4 linked regions of the Struthio camelus genome follow. The protein of the gene in region 4 interacts with the protein of the main gene of each other region in a biochemical or structural test. Links are inferred from orthologs where the notes say so. Each region holds a gene or a part of one and is shown on either strand. Other genes may lie near its edges.

Region 1 (7,932 bases), on a different chromosome or scaffold from region 4:
ACAACTGCTGAGAGAGGGGAGCATACAAGAAAATATTAGTATTTGCCAATACTCAGAAAAATACAGGTTCTCTCTGAGACCTTTAGCTCATTTTTCATTTTTAAATTTGAAGAGACAAAGCTGTAAAGGCTGATTTGAAATCACGTCCTGAGAGGTTTTTCAAGCTACTAACCCTTTTTTCAGCTTCTACTATTATAGCATCTTTATTTTCTTCTGATACGATAACACAGGTGCTGAAGGATGACTTGAGCATATTAATCACGAGATCATTGGAAAGGATATCCAGCTTCTTCACTTGGTCTCCTGTCACATTGGTAGAACCAGCAATTCCATAGCTAAAGCGATGGAAAGAGAGAAGAGCATTTTGTAAAAACTGGGCGCTCTGTCTCCCAAAGTACCCCACTTCTAGCAGGCTTAGGCTCGTAGAAAAGTCTTGTGAAACAAACAACTCTTCTGAGTGATATCTCAGGTCTGTAAGCCTCCTTTTATTTACCAGCTGATAAGTTCTTGCTGAGACCTGCTAACACGAGCTGTGGTAGCAAGGCTGGAATACACTGAACATGAGGAATGCAAAAAAGGAATCACGCGTGAATAGTCCCCAAACTATAGGCAAACCCAGCCAGAGCACGCTACGAGGACTGGATTATAATCACGCTATTAAATTAGCTGTTGCCTCTTAAGACCCAAATACTGCCCCTACAACCTTGGCTGCCACATCGTAGCTGCTTTAAAAGCTAAGATCTCACTAGAAAGTCTATACTTAAAAAGTAACAATGCATCTGACTATATTGGTTATGGTTAGCAATACCCTGTACAAATATGGGCACAAACCTTTTGTTCAGAGGTTAAATCAACATTTTTATGCTATAATGTTTCTAGCTTTGTTTTTAAGTTGTAAGTGTTTATTTGCGAATAAGACTGAGAAACACAAGTGCCAAACAAACAAAAAAAAAAAAGAAATCAGCCAGCTGATTTCCGGCTGGTTAGTCTGAACCCAGCACTCAGCACCAGGAAGTACCAGCAGAGCTCGCGATAGGCAATAGTGAAAACACACACAGACAAAGGAAGTTTGGGTTATGGATTACGTCGTAAAAGAGAAAAGCCGTACCTAGCTCTGCGCAGGCACACCGATGGCTCTTACTTAAGCTTACCTGCGATACATTGGTGAGAGCTGAATACTGAATACTGGTATTTCTTTTTTTTTCTTTTTCTTTCTCTCTTTTTTTTTTTTCTCGCAATACAGCTGACCAGGATGTATTTAGAATTGAAGAAATGTACTGCATTTCTTCAATCTGATGCATAAGAAAAAGTGAAAGATCCAGCAAAATTCTCTCTCCTTCTCTGCTACAGCGGCTTGAGCATTTTTCTGCAATGTTTTAGAAAACATTAGACTTTAAATGTCACACTTTGGAGCCGGGGGGGCTCTCATCCTGAGAGCAAAACCTTCACATGGCCAAATCTGGGTGCCCAGCCCCTGGGGAGCGCAGAGGGCAGTGGGCAGCTTGTATGGAGCCTGCAGCGGGAAGGAGCGGTGGCCACGGCGGTGGCAGCAGCTCATCACCACCTTCACGGCCAGGCTGGGGGCCACCCCAAGAAATGGGCCCGGCAATCCCTGCTGCTCTGCGCTCTCCGATGGTCAGGTCATGTGTCACTCGGCAGTGCCTGAGACAGGAAAATCCCACCGCTGGTCAGGAAACACAGTCCCACGGTGGGAGCTGCGCTTCGCCTGCCTGAGGAGGCTCGCAAGTCCAAAGCTGGTTGTCCCGGGGAAGAAAATACCATCCACCTTGGAGGGTAGTGAGGCCAGGATAGCAGCTCAGGTATCGGACCCACGGACACCTCAGCAAAGCCATGGAAACACAGAGAGGAGGCACAAGGAATGGGGCCAAGGAAGGTTACAAGTTGGCGGTGGAAGGAAACCCTACTCTCTGCTGTTGGGACTGTAGCATAAAAGGCTTAGGAAGGGGCTAGCATGTAGCGACTATAAAACTGTGCCAAGCATATCAGATGAGATTTGAAGTCAAGACAGCAAAAGATACTTTAAATTATATAGAGTGAGCTATTGTAATTTGCTTGTGCAATTGCTTCTGTTCTGCCAGCTTCAGTCACCAAATCTTTCAGCTTGCTGATACTAAGATACTGATGTATTTTGTAAAAAGTGTTACTCTGTTTTGCTAGAGGCATTTTACTTAATTTATTTTCCACTGTATGGTCTGTAGAGGCAAATTTGTTTTCTTGCTATTACTTTTTTCTTTAAGTAATGAGGCAGCTTGCGTCTAAACCCCTGATCAGCATATTATGTGGCTTATCAACAATATGCAAAATACATGGGAGAATCAGTTGCCCTAGACTGGCTTCAGCTATCTACCATTTCAAGAGCTCTCATTTCCTTCCAAAATCCTTTCCTCACATTTTCCTTCCTCCAGAGCAATCCCCCTCGGTATCAGCTCTGCCTGACTGACTACAGACACTGCTGGTCCTTGCAGAGACCATTTATTTATAGGCCGGAGACTTCCAGGGTGTCACAGAAAAACTCAGGTTGCTAGGGCACAATGTGGCAAAAGCAAAAAATGAAACAAAACAAAACAAACCCGAATTTGATTAAACTCCCTATAGCATGAAAACGGTGCTTCGATATCAAGTTCTTGCCTACAACGAATAATAACAGTTCAGCCCTATTTTGCCAGGCTTCAACTTTCAGTCTGTTTGGTCTTCGGGTCCGAAGCGTCTCGACCTGCTGGAGGTGTCTGCACGAAGACCTACCAGCCGCAGCCACCTGCGCGAGTCGGCGCGCCTTTACCTATTAAAAAAGGTGACAAAACCCATTTCTGCCGGGGAAAAGCCGGAGCCTGGGACGCTACAGGCGTCAGCTCGGGATGGCGGGGGGGAAGGGTTCGCGGCGTGAGGTGGGCGAGAGGTTTTGAGCTGCTGAGGAGGGAGAGAGGCCGGGGGAGCGCCGGGGAGGGCGGCGGGGCCGGTGTCACTCACAGGTTGGCGATGCCGGCCTTGCGCACGGCGCTGGAGATGGCCTTGACGGCGGTGCAGAGGGAGTTGAGGAGCTGGGTGAACTCGCCGGTGCCCCTGGCGCGCCGCCCTTCCTCCATCACGAAGCGGGTCATGGTGATCACGTCGGTGTCGAAGGCGGAGCGGTCCGCCATGGTGCCGTCGTCCTGCCCGCCGTGCCCGTGCCGCCGCCCCGGGACGAGTGGGCCCGCCGCCGCCGCCGCCGCCGCCGGCGATAGCCCCGGGCCGGGGGCGGGGCCGGGGGCGGGGCACCCGCGGCCTGGCCCCGCCCCCTGCGCGCGTCCCCGGCGCGGCCCGGCCCCCCGGCCGCCCGGTTTCCGCGCGCACCGGCGCAGCGGCCCGGGCAGGTTTTTACGGCAGGCTCCCCGGAGCGGTCCGGCAGCAGGAGCCTGTCCCTCCAGTCCCGCTCTCCCAAAGCCAGGAACGAGCGCAAGCCACACAAATGCTGCTGCACAACGTACCTAGGAGCCCAGACCCCGCTGAGTACCAGCGCTTTGACCCCGCCTCCCTGACGGTGCAGTGAGATCAAACGATATGTTTTCTTGCTGCTGTTTGATCAAAAAAGAAAAAAAGAAAAAGAAAAAAAAATCCAGCCACGTCTCAGTGCAATGCAGCGTACCGTCACAAAAACGTAGGTTTTGCCAGATCCAGAACGCTAGGTGACTAATCCAAAACTTTTGACGCATAGCAGAAAGCAAGTTCTCTCCACATCTCATCCTACATACACCCTGACACACAATAATTTGAAAAGTACAAATATGGATATGGGTTATCCTTTTGTTGCCATGTAGATTTATATTTATATTTATATTACCCATCATTTTATGTCTGTATAATTAAGGAGATGTATCCAAGACATTTTGATTACTTTCTGTTAGAATATATCAGTGATTTGGATAAGCCCAGTCTCAAATCCCCGAACCCAAACTGCAGACTGAAATTGTTCCAGGTGGTGCCAAGCACCAGGCAAAAATCATTTAAAAGTGTGCACCTCTTTACATATGCAAGCACACTGTATATCCACACATTGCTTACCTCAGAGGTATGTGTGAATGCCTTCTCCAGGTGCATATAACTTTGGCCTAACTTAGGCATGCCCAGAAGTACATGCAATTCTGAAACTATTAGTTGTAAATAGCTGTAATGCTCTTTGCAACGGGACCTTTTAGTCTTTGGTAAGTGGTACCAGCCCAGCACTTCAAAAGAGTTCCAGGAGAGGGAGGTGGATTTTGGAAAATTTACAAAGGATTGATATTAGCTCTTTCTTTAAAGGTAAATAATGCTTTACAGCTGTCCACGGCAGCTACATCAGCCAGGTCCACTGCAGCTACATCAGCCAGAATAATAGAGAAAGACAACATCAAACATCACACAGAAGTTTAGATGAGTGCACTTAAACTGGGTAGGACAGAGGAGTCTAGGAACGTATGACCCACAGTAACAGAAGAACTATTTATTTGGAATAACTTACCTTTTTTATAAGGACCCCATAAAATACATCAGTATCCTATCCTGCAGAGAAATCTGTACTTCAGGATAAAATAGTCAAGATCCGTGTAAAACACTTGCAACCTAAATTTTTTTTTATGAAATCCATGCCTGAAGAGAAGGAGCCTTTTTCACCTCCAGTACTCTGCCTATTCTCCCCAGTTTCTGAGCTGAAACCTTTGCCCTTTTGCAGTGGGGGAGACGAAGGGGCAAGACTTTTTACCACTTCCACTCATATCGTGGAAACCAGGCACAAATAAGCAAGCTGCAGATTGAAACAGCAGTCATTTGAAAAGATAGTGGTTTCACATCCAACTTTTGGGGCAGGATCTGTGACACACAGTCAGTTCCCTGCTCTGAGAACTGGGCTTGTCTAGCTAAACCCAACTTATCTGGCTAAGTTTGTCTGTGCTAGCCAGAGACTGCAGTATAGGCAAACCCGTGGTTTATTGTGATCTATTCTCAAACAGGCAAATGTTAAAAAAAAAAGTCACTCGCTTCAGCCAGCATTATATTATGGGCTTAATTTTTGCCTCATGGTCAGTATTTTCACGTATCTTGGGAGAATACAGACAGATAACTGAAGCCAAATGAATAAGGAAACAGACTGCCTGGAGATTTACTTGTCCTGCCCAAAGTGTCACAAGACCCTGGGAACACAGAATGAGTTTTTAACCTCTAAAACGCATATGCAACCCTACAGCAACCATGCTATTTGGTAATGTTAAATCAGTGTAAGCTCTGAATTAGGTTCTACGTGTTGTGAGCATTTCCCCTTAGAAATCAGTAGTTAAACATTTATCGAGAACAAATGTGTGGCGCTGGGGAAGAAAGGTCAGTGCTGGCTGATTAAACATTGCCAAAACATTTTGCTCCTGTATAGAAGAAAACGCAACCTTGTTTGCGAGCAGATGACATTCAGCTAGACACAGTTCACAGTTTTTCAGAACTGTAAGCATCCAAAACACACAACTTTTTTGAAAACAGCTTTTCTCCCTGTATGCAAAATCCCTATTGTGTAATGATTATGAAAATAAGACACATGGTGATGACATAATCCCCAGGTATTTTATTATGAAGGTTGCCTCTGGTAGCTTCAAATGACAAGCAAAAAGATAGTGGGAATTAAAGCCTCCCCAAAAGGCCCTTTTATCCTGAAGGAAAGCATCCATGTGGGAATGGCAGCTTTAGATCCTGACGCAGGGGAGGACTGAGGCTGGCCGTTGCCTGCCATTGGAGACAGATCTGCCAGTGTGATTTCTAGCTAGACAACCAGACTTTTGGCTCCTTTGCTTCATAAAGTGTTTCCCTTCTCCTGCGTGAATTTCCCACGCCAGGCCAGCCTCCTAAAATACATATTTATGACGGCCATAGCAAAGCATAGCACATCTCTGGGCACAGGCACACAACTTCAAAAGGACACAATTAAAGGTGAAAATTTGTGGAAAAAAGTTTTCTCGGTACGGTAGCTGTAAAATGGCATTTATCTGATAATGACACATTAAATTATTCTGCCAGTTTGTATGAATTTTGCTATGATCGATAAGCACAATCGAACTATAAAGCTGATGATATTCTGCGGTAAAGGGTTTTCCCGTAGCACGCCTGTATGCTGCCCTCTTGTGTCAGTAGCATGTAAACGTTTTTAGTACTTTATTGTGAGGGCGGACTCTTAGGAGAGCACATCTCCGTTTTTCTATACGTTGACAGAGCGCTTAATATGCATAAAATTGATTCTGAAAAGGAATTCTATGTGCCTGTGAAATACAAATATTGTCATCTTTATTGTCGGTTTTTAATTTCTGTATTTGTTACCTATCCACAAGACTCTACCAGGCAAGCAGAGCAAAGAATATGCTACCTGAATATTATACATGCTAATACTTCCCTTTTAAAATGTCATATAACATATCCAGAAAAAATATTTACAGTAACAACTCCAAGTTTACTTTAGGAACTTTTACTTTAGTTTACTTCAGGAACTGCTAAAAGAATAACCTGAAGAGACTTCGATGTACTCTGTACTAAACTACAGTGCTATCAAAGAGTGGACTTATCTTCTTTAACTGTCTACTTGGCAGGAAAAAAAATAAGTTTTACAACCACCAAGGGGCATAATGTCATGATTAGATGATGACATCTAAAATTCAAGATGGCCGGAGGAAGAGCATGTGATACAAAAGGTCAAATTCTGCTCTCAGACCCTGATCCGGGGTTAGATTTCTAGGGCAGATATCCCATTAATGTCCTTGTAGATTTAGCTACAGGACCATAACCAGTTATGTTGCTTTGCTGAAAACAATAGCTCAAATTGTTCAAATTTTTAATATCCTGTTGCTTAGGATGATTTAAATGAGCGGTACTGCAGAGGTTCAACTGTGGAGGTCTTGCTTGGGCTTTTGTTCAGCTCTGGTAATTTTAACTTTATTTGCTTCAGTTCAGGACTTCCAGATAACCTCAAATGTTTATCAGAACAACAGAAAGTCTTTTCTTCCAAATCCCAGCTCATTTTTATTCTGTAAAAGTACAGATGAAGCAGTGTTTGGCTTTTCCAGCTTAATCTGCAGTGTGATGAAGGTGTCTTGAATATGTTACATTAGTGAGGTCCAAACTATAGCGTATGCTAAAGGAATGGAACATGGTAATCATAAATGATTCTCTTATCTACGCCTCTGAAATATATGGTCAATAAAGGAAGCTGAGTGACTGTTTACAAGGTTATTCCCCCTTCTTGTTTACCAGCTGTATTCTGTTTCATGCCAAAGGACTGGCAGTAAAACTATTTAAAGTGACTGTTAGCTTTTACATTTTTTAAATTAATTTTATTCAGTATTTACAGAGTTTTTCATACTGTGAATGAACAGTAACGAATCGTTACAATGCCCTTGTGACATAGACAGGCAAGTAAAGAAAATCAAGGAAAAAACTTTATCCTGGGCTGCAGAGGAAAGTCGTGCTGGAGCGAAAAGCTGGCTGATTACTTTGGGAATTCACACAGTTTGAAAGAGAGTGAGAGAAAGTGGGGAAAAGAGAATTTAACTCAGCAATACACAAACTGCGTTTGTTACCTTTTCTGCATATTTCCTTTTGCTCTACTAACCTGATATTTCTTTTGTGACACAGTTGCAGCCGGTATAGAAAAAAGCCGAGAAGGGATATGCCTAGCACATATTGAGTCAGCTCTGAAGAAACAGCAAGAAAGTTAAGCCCCTACAGATAGGACATCACTGCAAGATGATATGACTTTAAAAACAGGAGTAATAGGTGGATAGAAGGAACCTATACTTTAGATTGCTCTATAGAGTCCATTTGATCTTGATAGGAACACCAAGCAGTGGCTCAAAATCCTTTTCAAGTAACTAGTTACCAGATAGCTATAGTATCCTGATCTAACATGGGGTTTTATCTTACTATTTCCCA
Region 2 (7,682 bases), on a different chromosome or scaffold from region 4:
AAAGCCATCAGGTGGAGGTGATTTGGTCTACAAGAAAACCCTTGCTTCTCTGAATACCCCAGGGCACTCTCTCATCCTGTAGCCTCGCCTACAGACTGCTAGAGCAAGGCTATTTCCAGTAGACTGATGAAAGACTGGGGAGGGGGGAAGCAATACCAACCTTCTGAGGACGAAGCTGGGGGGGACACCTGGAGCTGGTAGAGGTCGTTGGTGCTGTCGGCCATGGCAATTTCCATGGGCGTCCTCCAGTCGGTCAGGGAGCAGTTCACCTCGCAGGGCGAGAGGTCTGCGGGGACACACCAGAGTCGGGCTTCAGAGCAGGCACACACCACCCTCTCTCCCCACCACCTGGTTCACGCCATCCCTACAGAAAGCTGCCAACACCTTTTGGTGCTGAGCTTGTTGCTTTAGCCTGAACAGCAATTGCCACTCTGCTCAGAGTGCTAAAAATTGAATCTCACCTAAGGTGATGGATGTGCTCTCCACTTCCACTTCCTGGCCCGTGTAGCCATGTACTGTGTAACCACTGTGGTCGTCCGGTAGAGTAGTACTGGTTAGACTTTCTACTGACTCCTCTGTCTTCATGTCTTCATACGACTACAAAAATAAGGGCAAGGCATGAGATACTTGTCTAAGAATGTACAAGTTCCCATATGAAAAAAATTAAGCAAGAAAACCACCAAAACCTCTAGCTTCTTCAGCTGCTTCCACACACACATACCTTTCTTTTGCTCCTGTTTCTTGCTTCTCTTGATGACTTTGACTTCCTTTCTGTTAAATAAAAATAAGACCAATATGAGAAAGGGCTTCACAGCCAACGTTTTACGTGAGTATGAACCATTGCAGCTCTGAGCAAAGTCCTGCTCTGCAGAAGTGAATCCTGGTCGCTTCCTAATGATCCCTTTTAGGTATGTTTTAAGAATTTGGGATAAAATGAACAGTTTGTACAAACTGTTACTGTACGTGTGCAACGTGTTACTGATAGCAATAACCGGTGACTAACCCCAGTAACAGTGTTGCTACCAGCAGCTCTGCTGCAAGTGGGGCAGGAAATTCAAGCAGTGTTTGAAGTGCAGCAGCAGGGCCTGCTCGCCCCGGCTGGCTTCCCGCGTGCTTACCTTTCTTCTGATCCTTCGTCAGGGGCGGCAGCATTCGGTACACTCTGACTGCACTGGAGCCTTTGTTGATGCTTTTGTCCTTCACTTCTTCAATATCGGGCAAGGAGTTCATAGCACAGCGGAAGTTTGCTTTCCAGGTTTTAGGGTCAGGGTCTTTCTCACCTATTTTATATCTTCCTATAAATAAGAAATAGTGTGAACATTCAGACTTTTGATTGCAGTGGTTGTTCTTCCTGCAAGGAAATAATCTTTTTCTATTTTTCTCTTTAAAAAGTTAATTTGATAACCTGAACTGTAAATCAAGACAGAATAAGCTGCCCTACTTGAGGTATCCATCTGACAGATAAAATCTTAAAGCCAGCACGCACCTGTATGAATAGCCCAGCTCCGGAAGAGGCAGGCATCCTTCTCCATGTCCCAGCCATGCTTAGCTGCATGTTTCCAAGGGATCTGAAACATCATCTTATCCTGAAGTTAAACCAATAAGAGTTTTGAATTAAAAAAGGAGATTCCTCACGTGCCAATTTATAATGATGAATTGAATCAGAGATTACTCAGTAGCAGCATAGATAGGTTTTGGTTGCAAAAAATCTCACCTTGTTAATCCATGTCAGTCCCGGTATTTGATTGGAATTAATCTGCATTTCCAGCCAGGGCCTCATGCGCATTCTTGACACTGGCATGTTGTCTATGGAAGAAATAATAGCTCAGCAAAAAAGTATTCATTCTGGACCACATGCATGCTGCCGGCGACCTCCGCCTCCCTTCATCCCCTCTGCTGCTGCGCTGGCTACTGCTCACGCTGCCAGTGCGACCAAAACTTTCTCAGCATCTTTCATCTGCTTCCGAATCACAGTCTCGCTCGCTCTAGCTGGATTATCATGTAACACTAGCTGCAGTTTTGAGCTCTGGAGGCAGCAGCAGGCCCGCAAGAAGTGCCGTGAGGGAACTTTTTGTGACCCAGCCTGCAAGAGAATGAGCCTAGCCTCAACCTCTGCCTGGCAGGAGGCAGCTCTGCTCCCAGCACCAACGGATCAACACTGGCTTGCAGCTTTCCCGGGAAAAAGTGGGAGGTGGGTGATGCTGGATGGCAAGAGGTAGCGAGGGGCTGCTCGCTTGCCTGCACGGTCCCTGCACGCTGCTGGCTGCGGCCACAGTACAGAGCCCCAGGCGCTGCAGCCATCGCACTGTGCTGTTAGTAGCACTAACTGCACACTCGCTTTCTTGAGTCTTATCTGCTTAGTTGCGCAAAAGGAAAAAGAGAAAGCTGGGCTGCAAGGGACTCCTAATTAGCAAAATAAGCCCCACCATCAAAACTGCGCCTCTTAACGCTGCGGTCCGAGGCCGCTTCCCCGCCGCTGACACGAAGTGCGACAGAGGCAGTTTGCTATCAACCCTTCCTCTGCATAAATATATTTCCTGTTTTTGCTTCCCCCCCCCCCCCCCCCCCAGATAGACACACCAGCATTTCCAAAACAATAGCGCGCCAAGTTCCCCGAGGCGGGCACCGCGCCGGGCGGGGGCAGCGGGCGGGAGCGCTGCCGGCGGCGACGGGCTCCGCCAGTTCCCCGCGGCGGGGGCGCCGCCGCGGCCCGGCCCGGCCCGACCCGGCCCGACCCGGCCCTCTCACCTCCCGCCCCCGCGCGGCGCGGATGGCCCGGCCCGGCCCGGCCCGGTTACGTAAGGGGCCGCGGCGCCGCCGCCCGCTGCCCGCCGGGGGATGCCCGGCGCCCCCCGACGGCACAGATCCGCCGGCAGCGCACCGGCCCCGAGCTGCCCCCGGCTGTCGACAACCGCCCCGCCGGCGCGGCGCCCGCCCGCGCACCGCCTCCGCATGGTCAAGGCCAGCGCTGCAGCGAGCCGAGCCGAGCCCCGGGGCCGCTCCCACGGCCCCTGCCCGCCCTTTGCGGAGCGCCTCCCCGCCCGGAGCCCCGGCGCCGTGCAGCGCGAGAGGCGGAAGGGGGAGGTGGGGACCGCCACCCACCTCGCCGCGCTGTGCCGAGCCGAGCCGTGCTGAGCCGAGCCGTGAGAAGCCGAGCCGAGCCGAGCCGAGCCGAGCCGAGCCGAGCCGTCCGCGCCTGCCGCCCGCCGACCCGCCTCTGCGGCCCGCGGGGCGCGCCCTCGGGTTTAGCGCGGCGGCGCCCGGGATTCCCCGCCGCCCCGGGCACGGGCAGCGCTGCGGCCAATCAGCGCCGCCGCGAGGGGCGGTCGCGCCGCCCATTGGCTGCCGCCGCCAGCATCACTTCGGGGAAATCAGGCTGTTGTTGCACTAGCGGCGCGGGGGGGAGCGCCGGCCTCCCCCCAACTCCGCACCGCTCGCCCCGCCCCCTCGCTGTTCGCCCCGCCCCCCCCGCCCCGGCCGGGGTCCCCCCCCCCCCGCCGCTTCCCCCGTCGTAGGGCTGGCGGGGCCGTCGGGGCGCTCGGCCCGGCCGGCAGCGGGGCGGCCCCGGGAGCACGGGCAGGGTCGGGCCCCCGAGGGCAGGGCCTCGCGTGGGGGCTCCACACCGCTCGCGGTGGAGGGTGAGGTTGGCCCCGCAGCCCCTTGGGAGAGCATGGCCCCACGGGGGCACTGAGCCCCACGGCCCACGAGGGTCCCGCGCCCCACAGCATCACAGAATCACAGCACGGTTGAGGTTGGAAGGGACCTCTGGAGATCATCTAGTCCAACCTCCCTGCTCCAGCACGGTCGCCTAGGGCACGCTGCACAGGACTGTGGCCAGACAGCTTTGGAAGGAGGCTCCAAAGCTCCAGGGAAGGAGGCTCCACAACCCCCCGGGCAACCTGCTCCAGGGCTCCGTCACCCTCACAGGAAAGGAGTTTTTCCTCATGTTCAGACGGAGCTGCCTGTGGTTCACGTTGTGCCCGTTGCCTCTCGTCCTGTCACTGGGCACCACGGAGAAGAGTCTGGCCCCATCCTCTTGACACCCTCCCTTCAGAGACACATACACATTGATCAGATTCCCCCCTGAGCCTTCTCTGCTCCGGGCTGAATAGTCCCAGCTCCCTCAGCCTTTCCTCATCTTAGGAGAGATGCTCCAGGCCCTTCATCATCTTCTCCGCCCGCCGCTGGGCTCACTCCACGACCTCCATGTCTCTCTTGTAGTGGGGAGCCCAGAATTGGACACAGTAGTCCAGGTGAGGCCCCACCAGGGCTGAGCAGAGGGGGACGATCACCTCCCTCCACCTGCTGGCAACACTCTGCCTCATGCACCCCAGGAGACCATTGGCCTTCCCGGCCACGAGGCCACATTGCACTCCCAGGGCCTTCTCGGCAGAGCTGCTTGCCAGCAGGTCAACCCCCAGCCTGTCCTGGTGCCTGGGGTTATTCCGCCCCCGGTGCGGGACCCTGCACTTGCCTTTGTGGAACTTCAGGAGGTTCCTCTCCGCCCGGCTCTCCAGCCTGTCCACGTCCCTCTGAATGGCACCACAGCCCTCTGGTGTGTCAGCCACTGCTCCTAGTTTTGCATGATCAGCAAACTTGCTGAGGAGGCACTGTGTCCCTTCGTCCAGGTCACTGATGAATGTGTTGAACAAGACTGGAGCCACTACTGACCCCTGGGGGACACCTCTAACTACAGGCTTCCAACTAGACTGCACCGCTGATCACGGCCCTCCGAGCTCTGTCACCCAGCCAGTTCTCAATCCATCTCACTGTCCACTTATCTAACCCACACTTCCTGAGCTTACCTAGGAGGATGTGGTGGGAGACCGTGTCTAAAGCCTTGCTGAAGCCAACGTAGACAACATCCACTGCTCTCCTCTCATCTGCGCAGCCAGTCGTCCCATCATAGAAGGCTACCAGGTTGGTCAAGCATCATTTCCCTTTGGTGAATCCGTGCTGACTACTGCTGATCACCTTCTTGTCCTTCACATGCTTAGAGATGGCCTCCAGGATGAGCTGTTCCATCACTTTTCCAGGGATGGAGGTGAGGCTGACAGGCCTGTAGTTTCCTGGCTCCTCCTTCTTGCCCTTTTTGAAGACTGGAGTGACATTTGCTATCTTGTAGTCCTCAGGCACCTCGCCTGTTGTCCATGTCTTTTCAAAGATGATATAGGGTGGCCTAGCAATGATGTCTGCCAGCTCCCTCAGCACTCGTGGGGGGCATCTTATCAGGGCCCATGGACTTGTGAGTGTCACGTTTGCCTAAATGATCTCTAACTTGATCTTCCTCGACCAAGGCAGAGTCTTTCTTTCTCCAGACTTTCTCCCTGATTTCCAGGGTCTGGGATTCTTTAGGGCTGGCCTTAGCAGTAAAGACTCAAGCAAAGAAGGCATTCAGCAGCTCTGCCTTCTCTGTATCCTCTGTCGCCTCGACCCCTGCCCCATTCAGCAGCGGGCCCACGTTTTCCCTAGTCTTCCTTTTGCTATTTGATGTGTTTGAAGAAGCCCTTCTTGTTGTCCTTGACATCCCTTGCCAGATTTAATTCCAAATGGGCCTTAGGGCCTTAGCCTTCCTCGTCACATTCCTGCATACTCTGACAACGTTCCTATATTCCTCCCAAGTGGCCTGTCCCTGATTCCACCTCCTGTACACTTCCTGCTTATGTTTGAGCTTTGCCAGGAGCTTCTTGTTCATCCGTGCAGGTCTCCTGCCCCCTTTGCTCAACTTCTTGCTCATAGGGATGCACTGTTATGGAGCTTGGAGGAGGTGATGCTTGAATATTGACCAGCTTTCTTGGACCCCTCTTCCTTCTACAGCCTGATCTCATGGGATTCTTCCAAGAAGATCCCTGAAGAGGCCAAAGTTTGCTCTCCTGAAGTCCAGGGTTGGGATCCTACTTATTGCCCTACTTCCTCCTCGCAGGATCCTGAACTCCACCATCTTGTGGTCACTGCAGCCAAGGCTGCCCCCAGCCTTCACATCTCCAACCAGCCCTTCCTTGTTTGTTAGTACAAGGTCCAGCAGCATACCTTTCCTCGTTGGCTCAGCCCTACAGCCGATGAGGGTCCCACACCCCACAGGATGCTCAGCCCCATGACACATGCTTCCTTGGCAGCAGGGCCGGCACTGTCACCCCCTGATGCGCTTCCTGGAGCAGAGGAGCAGCCACCTGGAGTGGCTGTCGCCACCGATGTGGCATGAGCACCCCAACATGAAGACTTGAAGATTTTTTGCCAGCCCATAGTGACACTAATAAATTAGGAAAGGAAGTAAGTAAAATGCAGGCTCCAGCCGAGACTATTTTTAGCCAAACGGGAATTCGGCCAGGACTTGGGCTGCTCTTTACGAACTTGATGTGAAGTTTCCGTCTCTCAGTGCCATCTTTGAGCTGCCGAGTCCCACGCAACGCAATTGCGGGACCCCAGATCGGTAGCGACTCCAAACTACTCTCGTTTACTGTCTCCTATTGAGAAGGGGGTCCAAACCTGTATTTTTATTTATTGGGTGCCAGTCATTTCCAGAAGGGATGCAGTAAGGCTTGGAGTAATAGGAGCAATGGTGGGTGGTGGAAGCAGAGTTGATATCAAATGAAATGAAACATGTGAAAATTATCAGGGATGTTGCTGATCATCTCTTCTACATTTATGTTTTTGTAGCATGTGGTGGCCGGCGTGCAACCAGCTGTCCGGTGTCCACCTGACTCCTCCAAATGGTGCAAGCAGACGTACAGAAGTGTAGTGCTGCCATTGTCGAACGTGCACTAACTGCGTGGCTAAAAGCAGCAGGGCGCCGGAGTCCCCCGAGCAATCCCCGGGCACGCTGCGCCGCAGCTGAGTCACAGGACACAGGTCCCCTCTGCTTTCGGCAGATGACTTTTGTGGTAAAACGCGGTACCACGTACGTTGACTGGCTGTTCTCTGCAGTTCATTTAGAAGCCTGGACAGCCTAAACTGGGCTCCTTGGCATAATCACAGCTGTAATCTAGTCTCCTTTCAGTGCCTTTTCTCAAAAAACTCCCAACTGAGGTCTGGTCTTGGCCACTCCATTGTAGGTGTTCTTCATTTTTGTAACATAAAAGTTAAAGAAAACCTCAAACCTGGATTTAAAGGCAGGAAAGCAAAAACAAAGACAAAAACCCTGTAAGTGTCAGTGCTTTCGCTAAAGTCATTTTTGTCTGTTTCATGCTCTTGTGCGGTAGCGGCGTCCTCCAGGCAGGCCTTTGCAGGCACCCTTCCCCAGCGCACTTACAGCGTAGATAAATACTAGGCAGGTTAAACAAATAATCAGAGAAGGAGAGAGGTAGACGGCCAAGGCAGGGATAGCCCGAGGATGTGTACAATGCATAGTCCGTGCGAGAGCATAAAGTCATTTTTCCGTGTAAGGTATTCAGAAATAGTAGTCAGACATAACATAGAGATGTAACCCGGAAAGGGGATGACAGAGTGTGTTTGAGGTTCCAATGCAAAAGTCATCTACAGAAATAGTCACAACCCCTTTTATACAACCTAAGTGTAGATAAAAGACCAGCTTGTAGTTCCTTACAAGCTCCAGCCTCCCATGGTGTGTTTGTTTCCCTCTCAGGCACCTTTAAGAAAAATTCGGTCTGAGCTTCCTGGTCTGGTGGGACAGCATGTGTATAAGGTAAAGATATCTTAAGTACTTTAAAGGACTAAATTTTGAA
Region 3 (7,637 bases), on a different chromosome or scaffold from region 4:
GTTTTATTGGAGGCCATTTTTATTGCAGACTTGCAGAGCTTTTACTAGAAAAATGCATGACAATTAAAAGGAAGTTTACATTACTCAAAGAAAGGCATCCCAATACAAGCATGGTCCTTGTTCCAACCCCCATGTATTCACTGCACATAACACTCCTAATACGGATTAAATCCAGAACAAAAAGTAGGTTACTACTTTGTCCAGCGTAACCCAGTAACACACCGTTATGCTAGCCAGGATACACGATACCGACAAAGTCGTATATAGAGTTGAAAAAAGGTTTTCCCAAGGCCTTCTAAGGCTCAGAGATGTTTCTAGGGAAAAGGGGGAGGACCATCAGGGATGCATATTTCCTTAAACCCAAGAGAAGAAGAGTAGAGATTCTAGCAGTTAATCAAGATATACCTAGATGTATTAACTGCGAATCTGGTGGGGAGCAGCTACATATCTGCAGTGTAATAAGGAGTCACCCATTACTCTTACATAGTAGTAAATGCTTATCAACAGCCAAACGTTATCTTAATGCAACTATAACGTTGCCTTCTGATTTTCAAGTTTGCAAGAGTTAAGGTTCCTATAGCAATACTAACTCAGCAGCTAAGCTGTACATACTATGTATGTAACCTAAGCAAATGATGTTGAACGCGATCCATCCCCTTTTCCACGTCGTTTCTCATACTGGCCACCTCTGTAGGCATGTATTATCCCCGCCTGACTGCAAACTATAGAGCTGTTACAATTTTGCATTTGCCCGGGCAAGGCAAGAGAAGTCCTTCTCCAAGGCCAGAAAGCCTCCTCGGCTCTGCGATCCCGCCCAACTCGCCTCTTATGTGAGAGGGGGGTTTTGGCAGCCCCAAAGGCGGTGGGGTGGGTGAGGTGGGAGGGCAGGGATCAGGGCCCCGGCGCGGTGGGCCATGCCATGTCTCCGTCTGAAAGGCAAGGGAGAGGGGAGAAGCAGCAATTCCCCCCGCCCCCCACCCGAAAATAAAACGGAATAACCCCCGGGAGGCCTGGGGGCGGTGGGGGGGGCAGCGCAGCGGCTCAGGCCTGCGGCGGGCGCAGGCGAGGCGGCCGGGGCCGAGCTAACGGGACTAAGGCGGGCCGGCCCGGGGGAGGGGGGCGAGGGCCGCGGGAGCCGCCCGCCCGCCCGCAGCGCCCTCGCCGCGGGGCCGGGGCCCCCTCGCCGCCCGCCTCCCCCGCCCCCAGCGCCGCCACGTTTCCCCCGGGCCCCGCACGCCGCCGCCCGGAGCCTGGCGCCTGAAGGCGGCGCGGCCGGCCCAGGCCGCCCCCTCGGCGCTGGCGGGCGCGCTTTGTCTGGCGAGCGCGGGGGCCGCCGCCGCCCCCTCATCCCCCCCGCCCCGCCAGCCGAGGGGCCTCCGTGGAAATGCCAGGGCCCCACGAAGCCCCGCTCCTTCCGTTACCCCCCGCCGCCAAGGAAGCGGCAGCGCTCGGCTGAGGGCGGCGGGGGGGGGGGGGAAGGGGGGCGAGGCGGGCTGCCCCCCGCCTTTCCCGCCGTGGCCTTGAGGCGAGGGCCGCGGTGCAGGAGCGCTCCGCGGGGCGCCCGCTCCCCCGTGGCGGGAAGGGGGGGGAGGAGGAGGAGGAGGCGGCGGGGGGGGGGAAGGTTATCGAAGCGAGAGAAAGAGGGAGAGAGAGAAGGATACAGACTTCAATGGTGCTCAAGCCGCTCGGGTTTCCCGTCTCCTCCTCGCTCTCGCCCTGCGCGCACTGAGCAGCGGCGGCAACAGCGACATCTGAGGGGGGTTGAGGCGGGCGAGGGGGGGGTGGGGGAGGGGAAGGGGGAGGGCGGGGCGGCAGCGGCTGGGCGGCAGCGCGGCGCGGCGCGGCGCAGGGCGGGAGGCGGCGGCTGCTGGCGGGGCTGGGCTGGGCGAGCTCTGCGTGCCGGCGACTGACGGGGCAGAGCGCACGACGCCGCCTACGCGCGAGCTGCAACCTCCTCCCGTCGTCGCCGCCAGTACAGGAGGGGGGCCAAGACGTCTCTCCAACGGGGGGCGAGTGCAGGACCGCGTCAAGCGTCCAAAAGAAGGAAGATGCCTCGCGGCGACAGAGAAAGCGACTGGGTGAGCGGGAAGTGGCGGGAGGGGGAAACGGGCCCGGCGGGCCGGTAGCCGCCGCCGCCGCCATGATGATCATCGCCATGAGGGCGTGCTGGGTCGGGGCGGCCGCCGCCCGCCGCAGGGCGAGCGAGGCCTTCAGTCCGTGCGGGGGGGCGCCTGGGGCGATCCCCAGGTGCGGGGAAGGCGGGCAGGGAGCGTTTGAGCGGCTTTGAAGTTCGTTTTGCCGTTGCTGAGGCGGGCCCGGGCCGTTTGGAGCGCGGCCATTTCCCGCGTTGCGGCGAGGCGGCCTAGTCTTGAGCGAGCGCCAGGGAGGGGGGAGGGGAGGGAGGAAAGCGGGAGTTGGAAAGCGGTTGGGGGCCTAGAAAGCCCTTTATTAAGTGGGGGAAACGGGTCCGAGTCAGTTTAGGGTGCTTCGCTCCGGGAGAGGGGTCGCTTCCCGGGGAGCTGGGAGGAGGGGGAGGAGAAGAGGGGGCGGGAAGAAAGGAGCAGCCCTAGCGCCATTTCCCTGGTGCGCGGGGCGGCGGCACTCACCCTTTGTCGCGGTGTGTGCGGGGCCGGTGAAGAGAGAAAAAGGGAGGGAAAGAAAGGAGGAAGGAGAAATAAATGTCTAAGTGAGTGGCTTGCCCGATGGGTTTTCTGTCCGTGTTGCGGGGTAGAGCGGAGCAGGCTGCGGCGAAGTCCGCCTCCCTTCGCTGGCTCTCGGCCCCCGGCGATGTCTCGGTGCTGGCGCCAAAATCTGGGCAGCTATCACTTCCTCCTACCCGGGCGGAGGGGGAAGGGGCCAACCCGCCGACAAAAAGGGGAGATGTCGGGGGCGCGCGTAGGCACCGCGCTGTGCTCCCGCCCGGGCCCTGCCAGTACCACAGGTGGCCGGGGGGGGGGAGTAAAGGTGGGGGGGGGGAACGAGCCCTTTGGCTAATTATAACCCCCTTGCTTTGAGGTTGAGTCTTCGGGGCGGTTCGGCAATTTCCGGAAAAAAAAAAAAAAACCACCCACGACGCGGTGCCAAGTCTGGTCGGGGCCGTTTCGGCTCCGCTCGGGCACGTATTAGAAAGCTCTTCCGTTGTCGGAAACTGCCGAAGGCGCTGTATCGTCGATGGCTGCTGCGTCTTTCTCTCCGGAAATTGCCGAGTGGGATCGGATCGCCATTCTTGTCCGTTTCGGCAAATTCCGGAAATAGCCGAAGCGAATCGAATGGGCTTCCTTTCCTATTTCGGCTTTTTCCGGCGACTGTCGAAGTGGATAAGCTCGACGACGACAGCTCCTTCGGCTCATTCCGGAGACAGCCATTACTAACGGAGTTGATGACTTTTTATTACGTGATTAAAACACATAGGGGCGTTATACAGAACTGTTGCCCCTTTGGAGATATTTAAGCTCCAGATTCGAGCTTTTTGACTAAAACATCGGCAGCGAGTCTGGGCTGGAGAAGGAGGGCGCTAGCACTACGTGGAGCTGAATTTCAAATTACGTAACAGTTAAGGCAGCCATTACTGAGCAGTTGTGCGGTATTCTCAAGCAGGGATACGTAAACCATGAAGAATATGGTATGTGAAAAGGGAAAAATACAGATTCGGCTGTTAGGGAGGGTGGCGTGTCTGGTTGTGGAGATGGAGTGCTTTTTCAGGATCGGGGGGTTAGGAGCAGAGTCGTCCTCGGGCAGCGTAGGTCTGGGTGCTGCTGCCGACCCCCGTTAGCGGCGGCGCGGCTAGCGGCTAGGTGCCTCTCCGCAGAGGAAGCGTTAGCAGGGAGGAAGGTTCTGGAAGCGGCGGTTGGGGCTGGTGCGCACTCGAGAGGGGAGGCGGAAGCTGCGGTAGCTGTGCGTGCGGGTACGAATTCTTAAATCTCCCGACATGTCCTTTAGCTGAGCTGCCGTTAGGGTGGTGCTGCGGGGAAGGGAGAGGGGGACACACACCACTATGGAGGTCAGTTAATGCGCGATCCGGGACTCTACTTTGCCCTGCGGGACGCTGAGCGGCCGGGGTGGCGCTGCTGATAATGGCGGTAACGAGGGGGAGGGGTAAAATGGCGGCGCCGAGACTCGCTCGTGCGTGAGGCTTTCAGGATGAGACCTAGGAGGGGAAAGGGGGTAGGGAGGGAGAGCAGTAGAGGCTGAGAGCCAGGCTGCCGTTGTTATCTTTATGGGAACAGAAAGCAATCGCTTGCAAGCTCTCCCTGGTAAGGCGTGTGTAGCCGGACGCTAGAAGCGGTTTGCAGCGACTGATTTGTGTTTTTCCTGAAGGCCCGAGTGTAACTTAGCTTCTTTATTCTGGCGTCGGTTCTTTGTGAATTTCTTTCCTTCCCGCCGCATCGCTTTCCCTGGAGGCAACGGTTGCTTCTGGGCGCCATTTTCCTCATCTAACTGCGGGGGCCCTTGTTTTCCTGATAGCCGCCACATGGCGGAGCCGGCATGGCAGCCGCTTCACTCCTGATAATACCGGGCTGCGGGGGAAGGGGGAGGACGTAGACTGATGGATCGGAAAGCCATGTAAGAGGTGTTAGGGGCTAACGGGGCGCGACTGCATAGCGAGTGGTTGGAAGTGTCTTTCTGGTTTGGGGCCAGTAAATCTGGGGAAGTGTAATCGCTTGGCAGTTTCCATTTTGGCGGGCAGTGCCAGCTCAGAGATTCCACTTACCTGTTTTGTTAACCGTTTTTGTTACTCGGATTCTTAACTCTGCAGAAGTCTGCAGTCAGCTTGGAGTATTTGTACCCATGCTGTTATGACACGAAACGCACTTACTTGGTCTGGTGATGGATTTTCCAGTGTAGGCTTCATGTTTTCCAGTCCTTTGAAGTGTTGCTTTTAGCCTGTGAAGGAAGGCTTAAAATAAGCCCTAAGGAAGATTTACAGATTTCCAAAAGATTTTCTCTCACAGTTTGTTACTGCGGTAGAATGCACTCTGGAAGTCTTTAAAGGAGTTTTTTTATTCTGTCTTTTATATTAGCTTGCTACCAAATGAGGGTTTTCATGAAGATTCTGAGTGGGACTGGAAGGATAATAGCTTATATCATATGTTTCACAGCTTCAACGTGAACCGTGTAAAAGATTATCAGAGCTCTCTGGATCTTGGTCGTAGGTTAATTCTAGATAGGAATTTGAGCCTCTTAAACAACATTTAATGCAAATAGACTATGTTCAGAGGCTCTGCCTGTATTAGTGGAACAGCATGTTTATGATGTTTTCACACAGTGGTTTTGATTCAAGAAGTGATAGGGTTTTTTTTATTGCTATGTCCTGACATGTATGCGGTGCCTAGATGTTGGTTTTGGGTAGGGCACATGCTGTATGACACTAATACACAGGAGATGATGAATGTGAGAATTCTTAAGAATGCAAGAGTGTTTCATTTTTCTGTTTTATGTTTTTTAGTAATGTATGATACATGTTTGTCCTTTAATAATCAAACCAACTTTTTATGGCTCGTAGCGTTCTTTGCTTGAGTTTCGTTTAAATTTCTGTCGCTGTTTTCACAGATAAACGTTTATGAGAAATATCAGTATGCCTACTGAATTTGCCTGAATTTGCGTATTTCTGTCCTAGTTGCATTATTAGACATGTGGTAATTGATTATACAGGGAGAAGTGTTCTTTTCTGGTCGTGTGAAACTGTAGCAAGTACTTCAGCTCTGCTGCTAGAAAATTAGAGACTAATGTGAAGAGAGAGGTTTTTTTGCAGTATCATTACTTTAAATGATTTCTTAGCTTACTTGGGTTCTTAAATAATAGTATGCATGCCTTGCCACATGTGACTTACCAAATGAGGTATGCACCACCCCTTATTCCATTTAAGAGCTCATAGGAAAGAAACGGTAACGTGGGTTTACCCCTTTTAAGTTATGTTGTGACAAATTTTGCCCATCTGCACAATGAGAAGGTAGCTTCCTTTGTGTTTCTTAGAAAATACTTGGAACCCGCTATAGGATCTAGCGTTTCTGAGTGACACTGAAATTGATTGTTCTCAAATGCAGCATTTATATCAAAATTGTTTTTATGATTGTTGACTTGTTTCTCAGACTGAATGCAGTATCTTCAGCTGGTGATAGTGATCTCTTTTTTTTTTTTTTTTAATCAAAACTGATTCAGTATTGCTTCTAATAATGGTCTTCCTTGTTAATTGATTCTAGATGCTATCTGCTCTGGACAAGCTCAGAAAGCATATTTTGGCCTGCAGGATGATTGGCTAACACTTTTCAAAGTATCTGCACTAGGCTTTTTTGTTTGTTTTCCAAATCTCATTATTTTTCATTGGTTTTCTAATATCCTTTTTGCATTTCTCCTATTGCACAGTGCATAATTAGTTATGGTGTGTTGCTTAGTTGTAGCGAATGGTGGCGTGCTGGAGGTGTTTAAAAAAAAAAAAAAAAAAAAGGTGTTCCTGATTTTAAAATGACTTATCATTATAAGGGTGAAATAGTCATTGTATTCGAACTCTTATTTGGCAGGAGACCTGGCAGGACAGTTATATCTCTTTAGAGCAAGAGTCTGATGTCTTTTAAAGTTTGTGAAATAGGACTATTGTTTGTGTGCGGTTGTTTTTCTTTTTTTTTTTTTTTTTTTAAACCATTGCTGTTTGACGTAGAAAACTACAGAGTGCCTAATCTAGTGACACACTGTCATACAGAAAATGATCTTTTTGATGCCTTACTATATTTTCTTTTTTTTTTTTTTTTTTTTTCAATTGATGGAGGTTGGGAGATTGTTTCTTTCTGCTTTGGTGTATACTGTATGCAAAATAATAGATGTAAAGCCTACTTTATTCTAGTTCCAATGGTGCCCGATCCCAGACCTAGATTAATTTTGCAAATACTCTAGTTTTATACATTTTAAAGAGTTAATAAAGGGAAAATGAATCAATGACCTGTTGTAAAAGGTCTAAAGCTATCTCTTTGTTTTTTAATGTCTTGGGAAAATAGTATGGTTGTATTCATGTGCAGCAAGTTGAGGCAGAACATTTTTTAAAAATATATGCTATCTGGAATAGAATCATACAGTATGAACGGGTTGGTGTTACCTGTAATGAGAACGTTTTGTTAGTTCGCAGCATTGTTTTTCCTGGCACAACCTGAAAAAGCTTCTGATAAGACCTTTGGGAGGATTCCTCTTCTGGGAGTATTTAAATGTAGTCTCTTTTTTAATGTTTGGAGGGAGAGATGGGAAAAGTACATTGTTAAAATCTATATCATAGAATTGCACAAGTTGCTTAATTTCTGGAATAGAAGTCAAACATTGTAGAACCGCCTAATCTTATCTTGAAAAATGCTTTCTACGGAAAGTTTTTAACTCTTAAGAAAATCTCACTGACTGTCTAATTGTGCAGTAGGGGAAATGCTGTAAATTGTATTAATGTAAACTTCTTTTCTGTGATAGAGGGAAAAGGAGCAGTTTCGCAAACTGTTCATTGGTGGCTTAAGCTTTGAAACAACAGAAGAAAGCTTGAGGAACTACTATGAACAATGGGGGAAGCTTACAGATTGTGTGGTAAGTTGGGCATACCAATTCATATAATGATGATATCATACGTTTAGAAAGGATTAAAAATAGATTTTTGTTTCCTGAACAGT
Region 4 (7,465 bases):
CGCGGCGGCAGAGATGGGTCGCCGGGGCTGACCGAGAAGCCCAGCCTGGAGGCAACCTCTCCCACGAGTTTTTTGGCAGCAGAGCCCATCCAATGGAAGGCGAGAAGGAAGAACCCGGAGCAGCCGGGAAGATGCCCTGGATATCTGACCGCTGAGCTAAGAAACCCTCAAAAATGGGATGGCTGTCGAGGCCAAGCTGAAAACTTCACTCCGAAACCAAACTTTTCATGCAGAAGCATGCTCTGGGTGCCCCGTCACGCCAGGAGATCCAAAGAGGACTCGTCAGCACTGATTTTGGCTGCACGGGACCTCTGCGGGTCCTTGCTCCAATCTGAGCCCAATGCAGGACCAGTACAGACCAGGTTCCGCATAGGATGCATACCTCCACGGATGGAGACTCACCAGGACCCATTCCTGCTTGGGGCAGGGCAGAGGGGACCTTGCTGGTCCAACCCCAGGCCAAAACGGGTCCACCTGGATCAGGTCCCTCATGGTCACACGCAAACCTTGAAGACCTCTAAAGACAGAGGCCCACCACATCCCTGGGTCTCTCCCCAGCTGACCTCACCGGGGCAGGAGGGTCGGGGCTTCCAGGGGTTCCTGCACCAACCTCAACCAAAGCAGGACCATTGCCAACACCGCACTAGGTCGCTGACAGCTTCACCTAGCCAAACCTCTAAGGACGGAAACCCACAACTGCTCTGGTCCCCTCCAGACAAAGAACTTTCTCCAGATGCCCAACTTGAACCTCCTCAACCAGAAGCCACATCAGGCACCCCTCGCCGCCTCCCCCAGCTCTGCCACCAACAGCCAAGCAGCCACCGGTCTACCCTTCCTCCTCCTCTTCCTCTCCAGGGCTTTGAGAAAGGGTAAGCCACCTGCGACCGTTGAGATACCATCTACCACAGGTGGCAGCGAGAGGAAGCAGCGCTTCTGATCTCTCCAGAAACTTCTCTGCCTGGCAGATGCCAAGGCAAGGGGAAAGAAAAGAATGGGGCTCCAGGACTGGGGTGAGAAACCTCCATAGAGGCGACCACGAGCAACGCCAAGCTCTGCCACGAGCGGGACAACACCACGCTGGGAAGGACCCAGGCATCCGGGCAAGGCCAACAGGGCCACAGGGCAGTTGGGAGCTTCCTGGTACAAGCCGGTGTCAAACTGGGATGAGGCCAGCAGAAGCCACCAAGCACAGCACGTTCAGGGAGCGGCCAAGGGAGCTGGTGAAAGGGGACCTAAAGGTCCACCCGACATCCCAAACCACCTCCGGAAACACGGACCAGCTTTCTGGGAAGAGCTCATTGGTGTTGGAGCCCTCAGGGAACCCAAGGGCATCAAGAGCACCCATCTACTCCTCCGTTGCCCGGCTTAGCACCCGCGCGAGCCTCGCACGCCCACCCTGCCTCACCCCAGCGCCCTCGCGCCGCCTACGCCCCCCCCCCCGCCGCCCCTTCCTGACCTGCGGACGGCTGCAGGGCCCGGCCCGCGCACCCCTCCCCGGCTGGCCTGGCCCCTGCTGCCGCTCGCAGGCAACCTTCCCCCCCCCCCACCCCGGCACAGCCCAGCGCAACGTTTTCCCCTTGCATAACCCCCCTCCGGCAGTACCGTGGGGCCTCGCCGCCCCCCCCCACCCCCCATTACCCCAGGGCCTCGCCCCCCCCCCCTCGCACCCGTTACCCCGGGGCCTCGCCGCCCCCCCTCTCGCCCCCCGTTACCCCAGGGCCTCGCCTCGCCGCCCCCCCTCTCACCCCCGTCGACCTGGGCCTTTGCAGTCTTCCCCCCCCCCCCACGTTAGCCCAGGCCCTCGCCACCCCCTCTCACCCCCCGTCGACCCGGGGCCTCACCGCCCCCCCCCTCACCCCCCATTACCCCAGACCCTCATCGCTCCCCACCCCAGTTAGCCCAGGCCCTCATCGCTCCCCACCCCAGTTAGCCCAGGCTCTCATCGCCCCCCCCCCCCCAGTTAGCCCGGGGCCTGGCCACCCCCTCCTCGCCCCCGTTATTCCGGGGCCTCACTGCTCCCCCACCCCACCCCATTAGCCGGGGGCCTCGCCGCCCCCCCACCCATATTAGCCTGGGCCTTTGTAGTCCTCCCCCCCCCCGTTAGCCCGGGCCCTCACCGCCCCCCCCCCGGTTACCCAGGGGCCTCGCCACCCCCCCCCCCGGTTAGCCCGGGCCCTCGCCACCCCCCCCCGCAGTTACCCAGGGGCCTCGCCACCCCCCCCCCGGTTAGCCCGGGCCCTCGCCACCCCCCCCCGCAGTTACCCAGGGGCCTCGCCGCCCCCCCCCGGTTAGCCCGGGCCCTCACCGCCCCCCCCTCGGTTACCCAGGGGCCTCGCCACCCCCCCCCCGGTTAGCCCGGGCCCTCACTGCCCCCCCCCCCGGTTACCCAGGGGCCTCGCCACCCCCCCCCCGGTTAGCCCGGGCCCTCACTGCCCCCCCCCGGTTACCCAGGGGCCTCGCCACCCCCCCCCCGGTTAGCCCGGGCCCTCACTACCCCCCCCGGTTACCCAGGGGCCTCGCCGCCCCCCCCCCCCCGCTTACCCAGGGGCCTCGGCGCCCCCCCTCCAGTTAGCCCGGGCCCTCACTGCCCCCCCCCCCGGTTACCCAGGGGCCTCGCCACCCCCCCCCCGGTTAGCCCGGGCCCTCGCCGCCCCCCCCCCCGGTTACCCAGGGGCCTCACCGCCCCCCCCCGGTTAGCCCGGGCTCTCGACGCCCCCCCCCGGTTACCCAGGGGCCTCACCGCCCCCCCCCCCGCAGTTACCCAGGGGCCTCAACCCCCCCCCCCAGTTAGCCCGGGCCCTCACTGCCCCCCCCCTGGTTACCCAGGGGCCTCACCGCCCCCCCCCGGTTAGCCCGGGCTCTCGACGCCCCCCCCCGGTTACCCAGGGGCCTCACCGCCCCCCCCCGGTTAGCCCGGGCTCTCGACGCCCCCCCCCGGTTACCCAGGGGCCTCACCGCCCCCCCCCGGTTAGCCCGGGCTCTCGACGCCCCCCCCCGGTTACCCAGGGGCCTCGCCGCCCCCACCCCGTGAGCTCGCCTCCCCCCGGTGCCCGCCGCCCCCACCTGGCCCCTCCTTGGCGGCGGCCGGCGGAGCGGCGGGGCCCGGCTCGGCCCGCAGGCAGGGCCGGCAGACGGAGTGGAGGCAGGGCAGCAGCCGCGGCTCCCGCTCGGCCCGCAGCCGCTCCCGGCACACGCCGCAGCGCTCCAGCAGGTCCAGCGAGTCCGAGCGCGCCTCGCCGGGGCCGCCCGCCTCGACCGCCGGCCCCGACATGGCGGCGCCGCCGCCGCCGCTCCCCCCCCCACTCCAGCTCGACCCCCCGCACCGGGGGGGGGGAGGTGGGGGGGGCTCGCGCGCCACGGCGAGCTGCGCGCGCAGCCCGGCTCGGCTCGGCCGCCCGCCTCCGCCAATCAGCGCCCGCGGAGGGGGCGAGGGGGGGCGGGGTCTGCGGGGGAGTGACGGGGCGGTGAGGCAATGGGAGGCGCGCGTTGGCGGGGAAGGCGGGAAAACGGAAAGAGGCGGGAAGGGCCCGCCTGCACGCGACCGCGGAGAGGCGGGGGTTAAAGGGAGACGGGCCAATCAGCTCGCTCAACAGCGCGAGGCAGCAACTGAAGCCCAATAGGCGTCCGGAGAGCGAGGATTGACAGGGCGTGGAGGCCAATCCTCTTCCTCTAAGCGCTTCCCTCCCCCCGCTAGGCTTCCAGGGCGAAAGCTGTCTCAAAGCCCGGAGAGGGGGCAGGCTCTAGACCAATCACCGACCGAATCACCACAGGGAAGGCGGAGTCTTAAAGATGAACGTGGCGCTCAGCCAATCGACAGCCACAGCCCTCCAGGAGGCGGGGCAGTCGCTCTGACTGACACCTTGTTGAGCCAATCATCTTCTAAAATACCTTACGGGGGGGGCTCCTCCCCGATCCAGAGTCACTCCGGTTTGCCTCTGGTGGCCAGGAGGGAGTAATGGCGGGAGTGGCTCCGGGGTGGGGCGGCCCGAGGGCAAAGTCGATGGCTGTGGCTAGGGCAGGGCTCTCACGGGGCAGGGCCTGGGTCTGGATGTGTGTTGGGCCTGGGCCCGGGCCCGGGCCCGGGCATGATGTGGGCCTAGGCCCTGGCTTGGGGCTTGGGGCTTGGACCTGGATCTGGGCCTGGCCATGATGTGGGCCTAGGCCCTGGCTTGGGGCTTGGGGCTTGGGCCTGGATCTGGGCCTGGCCATGATGTGGGCCTAGGCCCTGGCTTGGGGCTTGGGGCTTGGGCCTGGATCTGGGCCTGGCCACGATGTGGGCCCAGGCCTAGGCCCTGGCTTGGGGCTTGGGGCTTGGACCTGGATCTGGGCCTGGCCACGATGTGGGCCTAGGCCCTGGCTTGGGGCTTGGGGCTTGGACCTGGATCTGGGCCTGGCCATGATGTGGGCCTAGGCCCTGGCTTGGGGCTTGGGGCTTGGGGCTTGGGCCTGGATCTGGGCCTGGATCTGGGCCTGGCCACGATGTGGGCCTAGGCCTAGGCCCTGGCTTGGGGCTTGGGGCTTGGACCTGGATCTGGGCCTGGCCATGATGTGGGCCTAGGCCCTGGCTTGGGGCTTGGGGCTTGGGGCTTGGGCCTGGATCTGGGCCTGGCCACGATGTGGGCCCAGGCCTAGGCCCTGGCTTGGGGCTTGGGGCTTGGGCCTGGATCTGGGCCTGGCCACGATGTGGGCCCAGGCCTAGGCCCTGGCTTGGGGCTTGGGGCTTGGACCTGGATCTGGGCCTGGCCACGATGTGGGCCTAGGCCCTGGCTTGGGGCTTGGGGCTTGGACCTGGATCTGGGCCTGGCCATGATGTGGGCCTAGGCCCTGGCTTGGGGCTTGGGGCTTGGGGCTTGGGCCTGGATCTGGGCCTGGATCTGGGCCTGGCCACGATGTGGGCCTAGGCCTAGGCCCTGGCTTGGGGCTTGGGGCTTGGACCTGGATCTGGGCCTGGCCATGATGTGGGCCTAGGCCCTGGCTTGGGGCTTGGGGCTTGGGGCTTGGGGCTTGGGCCTGGATCTGGGCCTGGCCATGATGTGGGCCCAGGCCTAGGCCCTGGCTTGGGGCTTGGGACCTGGGTCAGGGCTGGGACATGGGCCTGGGCCTGGATTTGGGCCTGAGGCTGGGTCTGAGGCTGGATGTGAGCCTAGTCGTGAGCGTGGACAAGATCTTCATCCTGGGGCTGGGTGTGGACGTGGTCTTGGACATGGGCAGGCGCCTGGGCCTGGGTCTAACCCTGGATCTGGGCCTGGACGTGGCCCTGGGCCTGAATCTGGTCATGGATGTGGGCCTGCATCTGGGCTTGGACATAGACAAGAGCCCGGGCCTTGGCCCAAGTGTGGGAATGGGTTTGGGCCCCGGTCAGGGCTTTGGCCTAGGCCTGGATGTGGGCTTAGACCTGAACCTGGGCCTTGCCGGGTCCGGATGCCCAGTGTCCCCCCACAATCACTGCAAGCCTCGCCTGGCCCCGCTGGGCAGGGAGAAGCCCTCGGACCTGGCCGGCCGTGCACAGGACAGCCCCCGGGCGACTCCCTCAGCCTCTGTTCCCACCCTGGCAACCCCGGAAGGCGACTAGCCCGGGGCAAACAGCCTCCCTCGGGCGCTGTTCACAAACCAGGGCGCCCATCGGCTCCCTCTACCCACCTAATTCTGCCCCGCTTTCGCTTCTCAATCATTTTAACGCCTTCTTTTACCCACAGAGAAGACATTGGGGGGTCTCTAAAGGAGCTTTGAGTCCTCAAAGCTGCTCCGCCGCAGCCAAGGGTCACCCCCGGCAAAGTCTTGTCTGCTCCCGTCCTCCCTCGCACCCCGAGAGCGATGTTTTCGGGATCCCAGGGGCCGAGCGAGCGACCGGGCGTGGATGTGGGACCGGCCCCGAGGAGGAGAGCGGAGGCTGTGAGGCCGTTCCCGGCGGGGAGAGAGACGACACCCCGAGCTAAAGATAAGGACGCTGGAAATTCATATGGAAAATTCACACAAAAATCACAAAAAACAAAAAGAAAAACCACCAAAACCCGGCTCAGGAGGGGGCTGTCTTGAGAAAGAGCGAGAAATGCTCCGGGAAGGCCGCTCAGGAGAGAACCGTCTCGAGACCTTCGCTCAGGCGGCACCGGACGACGACGAGCGTCGGCCGCGGGTGCTTCGCTCCGGAGAGACGCGACAGGAGGACGCGGCAGGGAAGAGCTCGCCCCGCCGCGCCGCCGGTACCACCCGGAAAAACCGCCGAGGCGACTGTCTTAAAAAAAGTCTCTCGCCTCCTGGTTTTCCTGGCGGCCACCGGCACGAGGCAACGCCGACCTCGACTTCCTCGAGCCGGAGTCTTCCTCGAGTCTTCCTCCAGCGGGGCCGGCGAGAAAGCGGGGAGCCCTTCGGAGAGGCTGAGCGCAGTGAGTCCCGGAGGGGCTAAGACGCCTTTGGGTGGCGGAGGGGACGCTCCGCCGCTAAATCAGGAGCTTCCTCGCGCGGAGACGAGAAACCGGTTGGATGAGCCCCGCTGGAGAGCTACTGAGATGGTGCTGAGCGAAAAGCCTCGATTTTTGCCCCGATCCCGGGACTCCGGGAGGCTTTACGGAAGGGAAACAGAAAGGGTTTTCCCCCACCGGTCGACGGCAGGGCAGAAGGGTGAGTCCGAATACCCCCCCGCAGCGGTGGGGCGGGGGGGGAAAAAACCAGCACGGGGCAGCCCGGACGGAGGCAACGGGCCCGGGAAGGGGCGCTGGGTTTTCTCCCTCCCTTCTTCGCCCCCGGCGAAAAAGAGCGGAGAAGGAGGGGGGAAAAAAAGGAGCGCGGGGCGGGCGTCTAGGCGCGGTGGGTGCGCTGGTGCCGCAGGAGGTGGGCGGCGGCGGCGAAGGCCTTGCCGCAGCCGGCGCACTTGTGGGGCCGCTCGCCGGTGTGGGTGGCGCGGTGGCGGGTGAGGTGGGCGGCGCGGGCGAAGCTCTTGCCGCAGTCGCCGCAGGCGAAGGGCCGCTCGCCCGTGTGGGTGAGGCGGTGGCGGGTGAGGTGGGCGGCGCGGGTGAAGGCTTTGCCGCAGAGGCCGCAGGCGAAGGGCCGCTCGCCCGTGTGGGTGCCGCGGTGGCGGGTGAGGTGGGCGCTGCGGCGGAAGGCTTTGCCGCAGCAGCCGCAGCGGTAGGGCCGCTCGCCCGAGTGGGTCTCGCGGTGGCGGGCCAGGTGGGCGCTGCGCCCGAAGGCTTTGCCGCAGCGCTCGCAAGCGTAAGGCCGCGGCGGCGGCGGTGCCGGCGGCGTGCCGGCGCGCTCCGGGCCCGGCCCGCCGCCTCCGTGCGTGCCCAGGTGCCGCGTCAGGTGGGAGCTCCAGCGGAAACCTTTGCCGCAGTACGGGCACGCGTTGGGCTTCTCGCCCATGGCGCCGGCGCCTCCTCGGGCCTGGGCGAGGAGAGAGCGGCACAAACTGGGGTTACTGGGCTGCCTGCGGTTGGCCCTGCGTTCCCCTCCCTCCTCGCGCTGCCCCGAA

The links.
Region 1: the proteins of TRIM28 (region 4) and FBP1 form a complex in vitro, tested with the Homo sapiens proteins (2 studies listed by BioGRID). The link is inferred for Struthio camelus from reciprocal best matches to the Homo sapiens genes TRIM28 and FBP1.
Region 2: the proteins of TRIM28 (region 4) and IRF1 form a complex in vitro, tested with the Homo sapiens proteins (2 studies listed by BioGRID). The link is inferred for Struthio camelus from reciprocal best matches to the Homo sapiens genes TRIM28 and IRF1.
Region 3: the proteins of TRIM28 (region 4) and CBX3 form a complex in vitro, tested with the Homo sapiens proteins (2 studies listed by BioGRID). The link is inferred for Struthio camelus from reciprocal best matches to the Homo sapiens genes TRIM28 and CBX3.

What each region holds. Positions count from the first base shown.
Region 1 is NC_090982.1:32,595,604-32,603,535, forward strand, and holds the start of FBP1 (fructose-1,6-bisphosphatase 1), read right to left. Parts: upstream 3,262-7,932; 5' UTR 3,159-3,261; coding exon 2,989-3,158; intron 2,801-2,988; exon of another isoform or gene 1,163-2,800; coding exon of another isoform or gene 1,152-1,162; intron 336-1,151; coding exon 173-335; intron 1-172. UniProt on the Homo sapiens protein: Catalyzes the hydrolysis of fructose 1,6-bisphosphate to fructose 6-phosphate in the presence of divalent cations, acting as a rate-limiting enzyme in gluconeogenesis. Plays a role in regulating glucose sensing and insulin secretion of pancreatic beta-cells.
Region 2 is NC_090954.1:2,453,226-2,460,907, reverse strand, and holds the start of IRF1 (interferon regulatory factor 1), read right to left. Parts: upstream 3,245-7,682; 5' UTR 3,103-3,244; intron 1,807-3,102; 5' UTR 1,802-1,806; coding exon 1,715-1,801; intron 1,587-1,714; coding exon 1,487-1,586; intron 1,296-1,486; coding exon 1,119-1,295; intron 772-1,118; coding exon 722-771; intron 598-721; coding exon 462-597; intron 287-461; coding exon 161-286; intron 1-160. UniProt on the Homo sapiens protein: Transcriptional regulator which displays a remarkable functional diversity in the regulation of cellular responses.
Region 3 is NC_090943.1:38,642,215-38,649,851, reverse strand, and holds the start of CBX3 (chromobox protein homolog 3), read right to left. Parts: upstream 3,118-7,637; 5' UTR 2,700-3,117; exon of another isoform or gene 2,607-2,699; intron 2,079-2,606; coding exon of another isoform or gene 2,049-2,078; exon of another isoform or gene 1,946-2,048; intron 1,936-1,945; exon of another isoform or gene 1,662-1,935; intron 544-1,661; exon of another isoform or gene 406-543; intron 45-405; 5' UTR 18-44; coding exon 1-17. Other genes in the region: HNRNPA2B1 (heterogeneous nuclear ribonucleoproteins A2/B1), read left to right, coding at 2,049-2,078, 7,444-7,554.
Region 4 is NC_090975.1:272,061-279,525, reverse strand, and holds the start of TRIM28 (transcription intermediary factor 1-beta), read right to left. Parts: upstream 3,297-7,465; 5' UTR 3,272-3,296; coding exon 3,064-3,271; intron 1-3,063. Other genes in the region: ZNF324B (zinc finger protein 324B), read right to left, coding at 6,796-7,356. UniProt on the Homo sapiens protein: Nuclear corepressor for KRAB domain-containing zinc finger proteins (KRAB-ZFPs).